Linked DNA regions of Neurospora crassa OR74A. Each later gene encodes a partner of the first gene's protein in a complex. Links are inferred from orthologs where the notes say so. Each region holds a gene or a part of one and is shown in the gene's direction. Other genes may lie near its edges. The genes, in order: NCU09261, NCU09561 and NCU02631.

The links.
Region 2: NCU09261 (region 1) and NCU09561 share a complex: the UniProt entries of both Schizosaccharomyces pombe proteins name them as parts of the GINS complex. The link is inferred for Neurospora crassa OR74A from reciprocal best matches to the Schizosaccharomyces pombe genes sld5 and psf3.
Region 3: NCU09261 (region 1) and NCU02631 share a complex: the UniProt entries of both Schizosaccharomyces pombe proteins name them as parts of the GINS complex. The link is inferred for Neurospora crassa OR74A from reciprocal best matches to the Schizosaccharomyces pombe genes sld5 and psf1.

Annotation. Positions count from the first base shown.
Region 1 is NC_026501.1:9,371,034-9,373,798, reverse strand, and holds NCU09261 (DNA replication complex GINS protein SLD5), read left to right. Parts: upstream 1-1,388; coding exon 1,389-1,694; intron 1,695-1,764; coding exon 1,765-2,124; downstream 2,125-2,765. Other genes in the region: NCU09260 (hypothetical protein), read left to right, coding at 1-841; NCU09262 (hypothetical protein), read left to right, coding at 2,581-2,765. UniProt on the Schizosaccharomyces pombe protein: The GINS complex plays an essential role in the initiation of DNA replication. Has a role in chromosome segregation and is required for bir1 localization.
Region 2 is NC_026507.1:996,216-999,815, reverse strand, and holds the start of NCU09561 (DNA replication complex GINS protein psf-3), read left to right. Parts: upstream 1-1,176; 5' UTR 1,177-1,310; coding exon 1,311-1,352; intron 1,353-1,427; coding exon 1,428-2,042; 3' UTR 2,043-2,612; coding exon of another isoform or gene 2,613-3,364; 3' UTR 3,365-3,433; coding exon of another isoform or gene 3,434-3,551; 3' UTR 3,552-3,600. Other genes in the region: NCU09560 (superoxide dismutase), read right to left, coding at 1-551, 673-818, 895-950; NCU09562 (hypothetical protein), read right to left, coding at 2,613-3,364, 3,434-3,551. UniProt on the Schizosaccharomyces pombe protein: The GINS complex plays an essential role in the initiation of DNA replication.
Region 3 is NC_026501.1:2,993,508-2,996,819, forward strand, and holds NCU02631 (DNA replication complex GINS protein psf-1), read left to right. Parts: upstream 1-747; 5' UTR 748-928; coding exon 929-961; intron 962-1,016; coding exon 1,017-1,540; intron 1,541-1,609; coding exon 1,610-1,703; 3' UTR 1,704-2,577; downstream 2,578-3,312. UniProt on the Schizosaccharomyces pombe protein: The GINS complex plays an essential role in the initiation of DNA replication.

The DNA of each region.
Region 1 (2,765 bases):
GTTCTTGAGGCGGCGGTTAGGAGACTGTGAGCGGATGGCTAGTGGAAAAGGCACAGGACTACCGACGGGGACGACAAGACGGGTAAGGATCAAGAAACCAATAAATATGGACGATATCAAAACAACGGATGAAAAAGCAGGACCGCAAGGGTACTTGGTGGATTTTATGGCCAAATTGGACGAAAAGGTCGCGGTCAGGGACGGAGTATGTCTACATGAGGAAGATACGGAGAAAGAGGATGACGTGATATCGAGAGAGAGTGGGACAGATGATGAAAGGGAGATTGTCAAAGACGAATCAGTCAAGGACGAGGGGAAGCGCTGTGGTGAGAGAAAAGAGGCAGATCGAGAAAGAGACAAAGTCAACGACAACCCGACCGATATTCCGACGGCAGAAGAAACCAAGGAAAGACAGTCTAATGGTACAGAGGTTATGATAGGTTTGGACACGATCTCAATGTCTCATTCCAAGCCTCTTCCCAACCTCAGCAAACTTGAAGGACAGTCCATTGCCGCTAGGAGGAAAAGCAGGCAAATGACTGAGAATACAGGACCCTTGTACCAGAACACAGTACCAACTACTGAGGGAACCCTTCAAAGAAACATGGATGATGTCGAGACGTCAACATTGGACTCGGACTTGGCGTTGGGGGTCGATACAAGCGACGACTCGTCATCCGACGGCACAACGGTGCTTACACCAACATCAAGTAGCGCTGATGAAATGTCACCAGGCGATCCAGCTCCCAACGAGGCTCACATGTACAAGTTCATGCACTCCCCAAGAGCCTCAGATTCCGACTGGGGTCCTGAAAATTCTCAGTCTTTGTCAACAGAATGACTTGGCACTTACACACTCTGATGGTATCGGTTATTGGCGTAATTTGATAGGAGCTGGATGGGGGAAAAGGAAAGGCGTCACTTGTAACATGAAAGACTGCTATAGTTTGATAACTCAATGATATCACAGGACGTAATAATGATCAAGTCCAAACCTAAGCCTCATGCCACGATACGATGTCGTTCTCATGCCCGCCGTGTTGCTGTTTACATGAACTCAGGGGCACCCCCAACAAGACCCCTGTATTGCTGTAAGGTTAGGGGACGCAGCGGACATGGACGTCACTAAAAGCGGGATGGACCGCCCTCCACTGGATGATCGCCGTAACAGCCCGCCGAGCCCCTAAAAATCCGGGGTGGGATCTGCCCCGCGTTCGAGGCCTGAAGGGAATTTCCACACCAGAGATGGAAATCCCCGTCACGAAAAATGCGACAACTCTCTGTGTTCTCCTCCTCCTCCCTCCCTTGTCCCCCCTCCTCTTCAACCACCCATTGTGCCCGCCTCACAACCCAATTCACCGCAATTCACCTCCAATCCATAAGCCACAATGGACATTGACGACATCCTCCGCGAAGTCGACCCCGTCTCGCACCAGATCCCGCAGGAAACGCGCGACCTGCAAGACCTGACGCGCGCCTGGGTCGCCGAGCGCTCGACACCTGAACTGCTTCCCTGGCCCTCCAACGGGCTGTTCGAGCGCATCAACGACAAGATCAAGCGGCAGATAGAAAAAGTGGAGGAGATGACGGGCGACATGGATCCCAAGACCAATTTCGCCCTGATTGTCATCCAGACCGAGTTGGAGAGGTTCAAGTACTTGGTCAGGTCGTTTTTGAGGACGAGGATTGCAAAGGTATGCCCCCTCTGGAGCTCTTTACTTGCTGGGTCACTGAGGAGAATGCTGACACTTGAGAATTGGGTAGATCGACAAACACCTCCTCCACTACATCTCCAACGATAACCTCCGAACACGCATGTCGCAAATCGAAGAGGCGTACGCGCGAAGACACCAGCTTTTGTTGCACAACCACTACCTCAACTCCTTCCTGGGCACGTTCCCGCCCGCGATGCAAAACTTGAACGACACGGCGGGCAATATCAGCATGATTGACAGTCCTGACCTCGACTCGGCCGTGTTCATTCGCTTGTTGAGGGATGCCGAGATTGAATGTCATGGAGTCGATGTCGATGGTGTGCTCACGGGCAAAGAGGGGGATATTGTCATTCTGAGGTGGTCAGATGCAAAGGGATTGGTGGAAAAGGGGGATGCTGAATTGGTTTGAGGCTGCCGCCATGGTTGGATAACCTGTCTACAAACAATGAGGGCTGATGGGCTTCTGCTCGTCGGTATGAGACGATCAGGGAACTTGGACGTTGGCGGAAGCTTCATCTCCAGGACGTCACTCAACACCACCAAATCGACCGATCGACGACGGGAGTTATGGCGGAATTCCAGTGCTCGACCCCGTTAAACTCGGGCGATTGCTATACAGCCATCTCGTCGGTGTTTGCGGGACGAATATTGGGACCGGGTTTGCCAGCTTTGAAAAGGTTCACGCCCACGGCTACGTCGCAATGACGTGCGGGCGGTATGAAACCTCACGATGATCAGACGAACAGCATCAAAGACGACGACGAAACAGCAGCACCCGAGGACACACCGATAACAACGACCTGCTCACCTCCCCATCCACAATCCAACATTTTGCTACAGCGGGTACACCCGATAACCACGCATCATGACCACCGCCGCTGCCGCCGATTCCAAAACCATTGTGCTCATCACCGGCGCCACGCGTGGCATCGGCTTCGAAACCGCCAAACACCTCAGCACCTCCCCCGACCAAAATTACCACATCATTCTCTGCGGCCGCCGTCCCTCCTCGGTCGAGTCCGCCATCACCATCCTGCGCTCCCTGCCCAA
Region 2 (3,600 bases), on another chromosome or scaffold:
GGCAACAGTCTTCCAGTTAATCACGTTCCAGATCGCCTCAAAGTACTCTGCCTTCCTGTTCTCATACTGCAAGTAGTACGCATGCTCCCACGCGTCAATGCCCAACAGGGGCACATAGTTACCAGTAACAGGGTCCTGGTTGGCACGGGTAATCAGCGCGAGCTTGCCGTTCGCAGCCTTATCCTTGGCCAACCACGCCCAACCCGAGCCCTGGATGCCGGCCAGCGCAGCATTCATCTGCTTGACGAAGCTCTCGAAAGAACCAAACTCGGTCGTGATGGCCTTGCCGAGAGCACCATCGGGTGAACCGCCACCCTCGCGCGAGGCGGGGGCCAGGTTCTCCCAGAACAAGGTGTGGTTGAGGTGGCCGCCGCCGTGGAAGTTGAGGAGAGGGGCGACCGAGGCGGCCTTGGTGAAGTCACCCTTGGACTCGGCCTCGGCAATGGTGGTCAGGGCCGAATTGAGGCCGTTGACGTAGGTCTGATGGTGCTTGGAGTGGTGGAGCTCCATGATCTTGGAGGAGATGTAGGGCTCAAGAGCGCCGTAGTCGTCTAGGGAAAGGAGAGTGAGTTAGCTTGGGGGGTTTTTCCTCAAAGCCGAAGCGGAGGGAGGATAGACTGAAATGAGGAGCGGGCATTGCAAAGCGAGCGAATGTTGGAGGAAAGAACTTACACTGAAGGTCGGGAAGAGTGGCCTTGCCGCGGACAAAGGTAGCGGCGGGCTTAACGGCGCTGGCGGCGCGCAGAGCGCTGCGGGCGACCGGAGTAGCGCGGAAGAGGGATGCGGACATTGTGACGGCTTGTTTATCGAGAGAAAGACTAGTAATTAGGTGAAGTGGTTAGGTCTTGAAGTGCGAGAAGAGGAAAATTAGATGATCAATGGGACGGCGGCTACCTCAGAGTAAGTGAATTGGCCGACTGATTGCGACTATCGGAAATGTCTCTTTCCATTTACTTATCTAATAAGCTCGGATGATGATGGAAGCTCCATGGAAACCGTTCCAACTAATTCCGTCATAGCCCCACCCCGCCGAGGGGAAGAGGTGGGTACCTCTATGGCTCGTGTGGCTGAAAGTGGAACAAGGAGCCGTCTCTGAGTGGTGAGTAAGCCACAGTGTTAATTGCGGTCTCTTGGCATGGCGGCGCTCTTCCTCTGTCGCGTCTCCCACTTCCAGAGCGCGTCTCCCCAGAACCTTGATTGATCTCGAAATCCTGGCGAAAACTTGGTTTGGGTCAGTTGTCCAACTCAACACTGTCCAACTCATCTCCAAACGCCAGGCTGGTCCAATTGAAGCTACCAAAATCACCACCATGTCATATTACGATATCGATGCGATCCTGACTGACGCAGAGGTACCCTCCATCTCCCTCCCCCACCATATCATCACCCAACGCCAAAACACCAACTAACCCGACGATCCTCCCCAGAAAATTCCTTGTACCTTTCAAATCGACGTCCCCGACCTTGGCTATCTCGACAACCAACCGGGGCACACCCTTAAGTCCGGCTCGCGCGTCGCTCTCCCCATCTGGCTGGCTGAAATGCTCGCCATCGCTAATACGGGCGCCGTCGACATGGACGACCCATCACAGTCCAGCAAATCCTTCATCACCTTCGACCTGCCCCCGGCACTGGGTAACGACGTTGTCCAAGCTTTGAAAGCCGACCCGCGCTCCGTGCCGCTGCGCGATCAGAGCGCCCACTTCTACGCCCTCGCCACGCACATGATGGAGTTGTCAGAGGAGCCGGAGCTGAGCGCAGTGTTAAGGAAAACGTTTGTCTCGAGGGCGGCGGAGATTGCGTTGCATGCTAGGAAGGTGGGTGGGGGCGGAAGTTCGTATCATGGTCGAGATGGCGGAGGAGCCGGAGGAAAGGGCAAGGGGAAGGCGACGAAGGACGATAATGCCAGCAATTTGGGCGTGGGAGGCGCTGGTGAGGACTTTTTGAGAGGGTTGGATGAGTGGGAGAGGAAGCTGTTTAGGAGTGCACATGATGGGACGAAGGCGAGCAAGGAGTGGATGGAGAATGTCAAGAAGAGGTGAGTGGAGTGGTACTGTTGGAGCGTTGTTGCTACCGCTGGCGCCCGATCGGTCTTTACCTCGCAACGAACCAGCGCTTCGGTTCAAGCATCCTCCATGATTCTCGGACTGCGCTCGATGCAGTATATAACAACAGGCCACCGGCGACCTCCCAAGTTCATTTACCATGACGAAGCTGTGGATCAGTCATTATCACGGCTCGAGAGCATCGGGATACCACGAAGGAGACAGGATTCTTGGGGGTTTAGTTGTGTCACCCTCCCCTGGAAGTATGGCGGACTTGGACTGCTATCGCCGGATGAGTATCCTACGCATCGCTGATCTTCACAGAGTTGTGCTGTCAGCGGCACAGCAGACCATCTGGCCTAATAATGAGGAAGACTCATGAGATATTAAGAGGACATGAGGTTCGGCACTCTCTGTTAACTCGGACTTCGTCAATTGGTGGGTGACTAGCGAGCGACATCGGATCCTTCATTTGGGTATACCACTATTTCGTCCATCACGGTCTATGGAATATTTAACAAGATAGCCGAAGCTCAAATTGGCTTGGCCGACGACTAGCCACCACCCTCACCCGCGGGACACTCTGGAGCGATCAACATGCCTCTCCTCCTTCTTAGACTCAGTTGCAGCAGACATGGCCCTTCTCACACGCCTCTTCTCCCGATTTTTCCTCCTCTCCTCACGGCTCAGCCTATTCTCCCCGTCCTTTTTGGCACGGCGGTTGAGACTCATAAGCATACCAACCTCGCCGTCAACCTCGTCAACATCTTCAGGCTCGACAGACACAGGCACAGGTTCAGAACGGCCAAAGATCTTGCTCAAAAGACTACCCAGTCCGAGCCCCTGTCCCTTTTCTGTTGCTGCATCCGGGTGGGAAGAGCCGGTGGGCACAGTGCCGTTGGATGCGGCAGCGGGAAGGACAGTACTATTCGAGCTGCGGCCAGCGAGAGGACCAGGGATGGTGGGCGTGTTGTGGTGATTGAAGATCTTGTGAAGGAGATCGCCAAGTCCAAGGGATCCGTGGTCTCCTTTGGTTGCCGCGTCTGGATGGGAGGCACCGCCAAGGATAGTGCCGTTGGAAACACCAGCAGGGGTTACGGTGCTATTTGAGGCCCGGATATTGAGAGTAATGGCGGTGGACGTATCATGGCGGCCGAAGAGGTTATGCAACAGACCACCTAGGCCAAGCCCCCCTTCCTTTTTGTCCGTCGAGTCAGGATGGGAGGAGCCAACAGTGCCATTGGAAGCCGGAGCGGAAGCAGGAGCGGTGAAGTTCGAGCTGCGGGCTTTGAGAACCGCGCTACCGGATGGCGCATCTTCTGTGATGAGGGAGGGGGTCGTCAGTGCTTAGAGCTTCCGGTATCTTGAGCTTGGTACTCGAGACTTACTCAGCGATCGCAAGGTGTAAAGGAGATCTTCAACATGAAAGGCAGAGACTATGTTGCAGGCAAGGAGAATGGTAATAGTGAAGTTGGCGAAGAAGCGGAGAGAGAGCGGATGACGCATGGCTCCTGATTGGGCTTGTACTCGCAGAAACAGGTGAGTCTAGCAAGCG
Region 3 (3,312 bases), about 6.4 Mb from region 1:
GGCATCTCATTCAACTTGGAATATTGCTTCTTTTTCGCAGCTCTTGAGCTAACTCATGAATCGTAGTTGTTGTATCTTTGCGCATGCCGAGTGCTTGTCCAATGGAGCAGCCCATCTGAAGTTGGAATTTGGCAACCCTACGGAGCCTAGTGTAGTCTTTCCTCGTCACCATTACCGATTGTCCGGTGCGTTATGGGCGGGTGGGAGTATCAAGGTGGTCCGAGAAGGTTGCTGGTTTCAACAGTTGATAGATTATATCGTGTTTGCTTAGCAATAGTTTATTGAATATTTCTTAACTGTTCAAGGGCTTAATGCTAGTAACTTTTGGACGTAGGGGCATGTAGAATGTGTGCACCATGTGCGAAGGCACTCCGATTCTTCACATGTATCTCTGAACTGGTATCGGCTTCAGGAAATGAGACGTTCGTTTCAAAGGTACGGTGGCCTGTACTGCGGCCTTTGCCCATGAGAAGAAGCATCACCCTTCAACTACCTCTGTACGTCTTGCTTTATGAATATCCCTATTCTTGTCGCCGACGTTAGTGAATGCCCTGACTGCACGTATGCCTTGGGACACGCCGTATGCAGCTGGTTGAGAGGGAATGGGACGAAGAAAATGTTCGGATACACGTACCTCTACTGCGTATTCTGCTTCGGGTTAGGGCTGTCCGAGGACTTTTGATGCCCACCCCGCGTTCAAGTGCAGTGCTTAGACCATCTTGTAGCGCCTATCTGCCTAACAACGCTTGATATGCTAGTGGCCATAGAACGGTTTCACATCCAGACGGAACCTCGAACTTCACCCGCCTGGCTGTTCGAGAAAACGACGCGACGTGAGACGCGTCAGAAAATAGACACATAGTCAATTCCACTATCACACCTTTCAGCTTCGAACTGTCCAAAGAGGCACTTAAGCCACGTCGAAAACATGCCCATGTACGGTGACTTGGGTAACAAACTGGTTTGTGCAAGCTCACTGCATCCTCCCTGGATACGAACACTCACACCATCACCAGGTCCAGCATGCCAAGAGGACACAGAACTTGAGCCATCTTCCACCTTATCAGACCGAGCTTGTCCGTGCAGTGGCCCGAGAAATCCGGGATCTTGACAAAGACGTCGCCAGTTTACTTGAACCTTTCCAGGGGTCATTTGATCCTTCCGCCGAACAGGCCACCGCGTGCACGCTGCTGGTCAACCACCTTTCAATGCGAAGGAACAAGCGCTGTCTGCTCGCCTATCACCGAATCCGAACAGACAAGCTCGAGGAGCTGGTGTGGAATGGAGCCGATATCCTCGACCTTGCCGGCCAGACGACAGGAGGGCCCAAGGGCGTGACGGAGGGCAATGAAGGGGGCGGGACCACCAGCAGTCTTAGTCCCCAGGAAGAGGATTATTTTCGACAGTTTGGAGATTTGTTGGCCCTCTACAAAGGCCAATGGACGGATATCGATCTCACAGGCAGTCTCGAACCCCCACGAGACCTTTTTATCGACGTCCGAGTGTTGAAGGATGCGGGCGAGATCCAAACCGAATATGGGTAAGCTACGCTACAGATGGAGGAATAGATGATGGCTTTGGTTCCACGCTAACTAACGCATGTCTAAAGGGCGATCAACCTGACAAAGAACAGTCAATTCTATGTCCGGCAAGGAGATGTGGAGCGTCTGATTGTGCAGGGATATTTGCAAAAGCTGGGTTGAACAATATCGACCTGGCATCGATGATTTGAGACCGGAGCTTGTTGCTGCAGACCAGCAATGGAAAACTGCTATCGGCAGCGGTTGCCGACAGGTTGACAGACCCCTCGCTCTTTCCTGACCATTGACGGCGTGGCGCCTTCCGAACAGTACCGGAGAGGGAGTGACGGACTCAATGGCTTCGACCAGAAGCCATATGCAATGGTCATTGATCAGCAGCTAGATGTTGGAGGGAGCGCAAAGGACCGACTCAAAAGGGTTGCGCCGCACACACAGAGCTGACCAGTCCTTGTACTACGACGACGGCCAAAGGTGACTTCAACCAAATATTTTGAGTCTCTGTGGGGCAAGGAGTTACCATCTACTTTTTCTCAATGGCTGGACCATTGATGAAGGTTTGAGAAGTGCTTGCATCGACAAGGGACCATGAGCCCACAACCAGACGGTAGCACAGTTTGTAAGTTGCGGGAAGGATGAGGGAAAGGTTACTTTGACGGCCAGACCATTGATTCAGGAACCCACACGGAATTGCCGCGGTGGACGACGGCCGAACGTCGAGGCTGGAGTGACAGCCAGCAAGGGGTTTCACAAGGCCCTTCAAATTTTTTCACCAACCAGTGGCCAAGTTTTCTGGCATGGCAACACTGTGTTTGTGGCGGCTGATAACATCCTTTTTTCAGTATATTGTTTCGTTGATGGCAGATACTGAGAATCAACCCGAGTAAAGAGAAGAGGTACTGACTAGTCCTTGATTTGTCAAACTACAGCTAATAGGGCCCATCTGAAGAAGGCGATAAGAACAGTCATAGGGTTATGTAAACTTTTGACCGTTATTGCCGTGTGCTCGCTGTCAGTCTGTCACACGTGGAGCTGAATGATAGTTACTGGGGTGCAGTGTTCAATTTCAAAAAAGAGAAACCAATTCGCACTGGGAAGGCTGCTTGGTGGAACAAGGATTACATCATGCAGATGACGCCTTTCCCTTCCACGGCCTCAACCCCACCATGGCCAGCTAAAACAACAGGTCCAGGCCATCCAGCAACTGCTAGGTAGTATCATTGGCTTTCAACTGATCAATTGAGACCATATCAGTTCTTGTTCAGTCTTCCTCCGGCGCTAGGTACGATAGACGCTACGACGCACGACGGGACAACATGGAAACCCCGAACCGTCGAAGCTTATGTACATACTAGTCATCAGATATCCCGCCCGACGAAGTCTTTGCAGGCGGGGCCAAAGAGTTCCGGCCGGATGCAGCATGGCGCGGTCGGTGCTTCTTGTATGTTGCTGTCGACAAGATTGCTCCATAGAATTTTGCTTCTCACCACCGGCCTGTACTCCTCGAATCGCCTCCAGCCGAGGACGGACCTTCTACGATAGCTCGGCCTGTCGTTATTTTTCTTTTTCATCATTCCTCTTTTCCCCCAAATTATCTGAGGATATTTGTCACGTTTTCTTTTCTTCGCGGACATCTACATGGTTACATCAGGTGCTGCTTTTTTTCTACATATCTTGAATTCTTTTTCTTACCTTCCTTCTTGTCCTTCCGCTCTCCAGCCACAGGACTTTGCTTTTCTGCACTGACGTGCTTCTTTACTCGCTTCCGCATCAT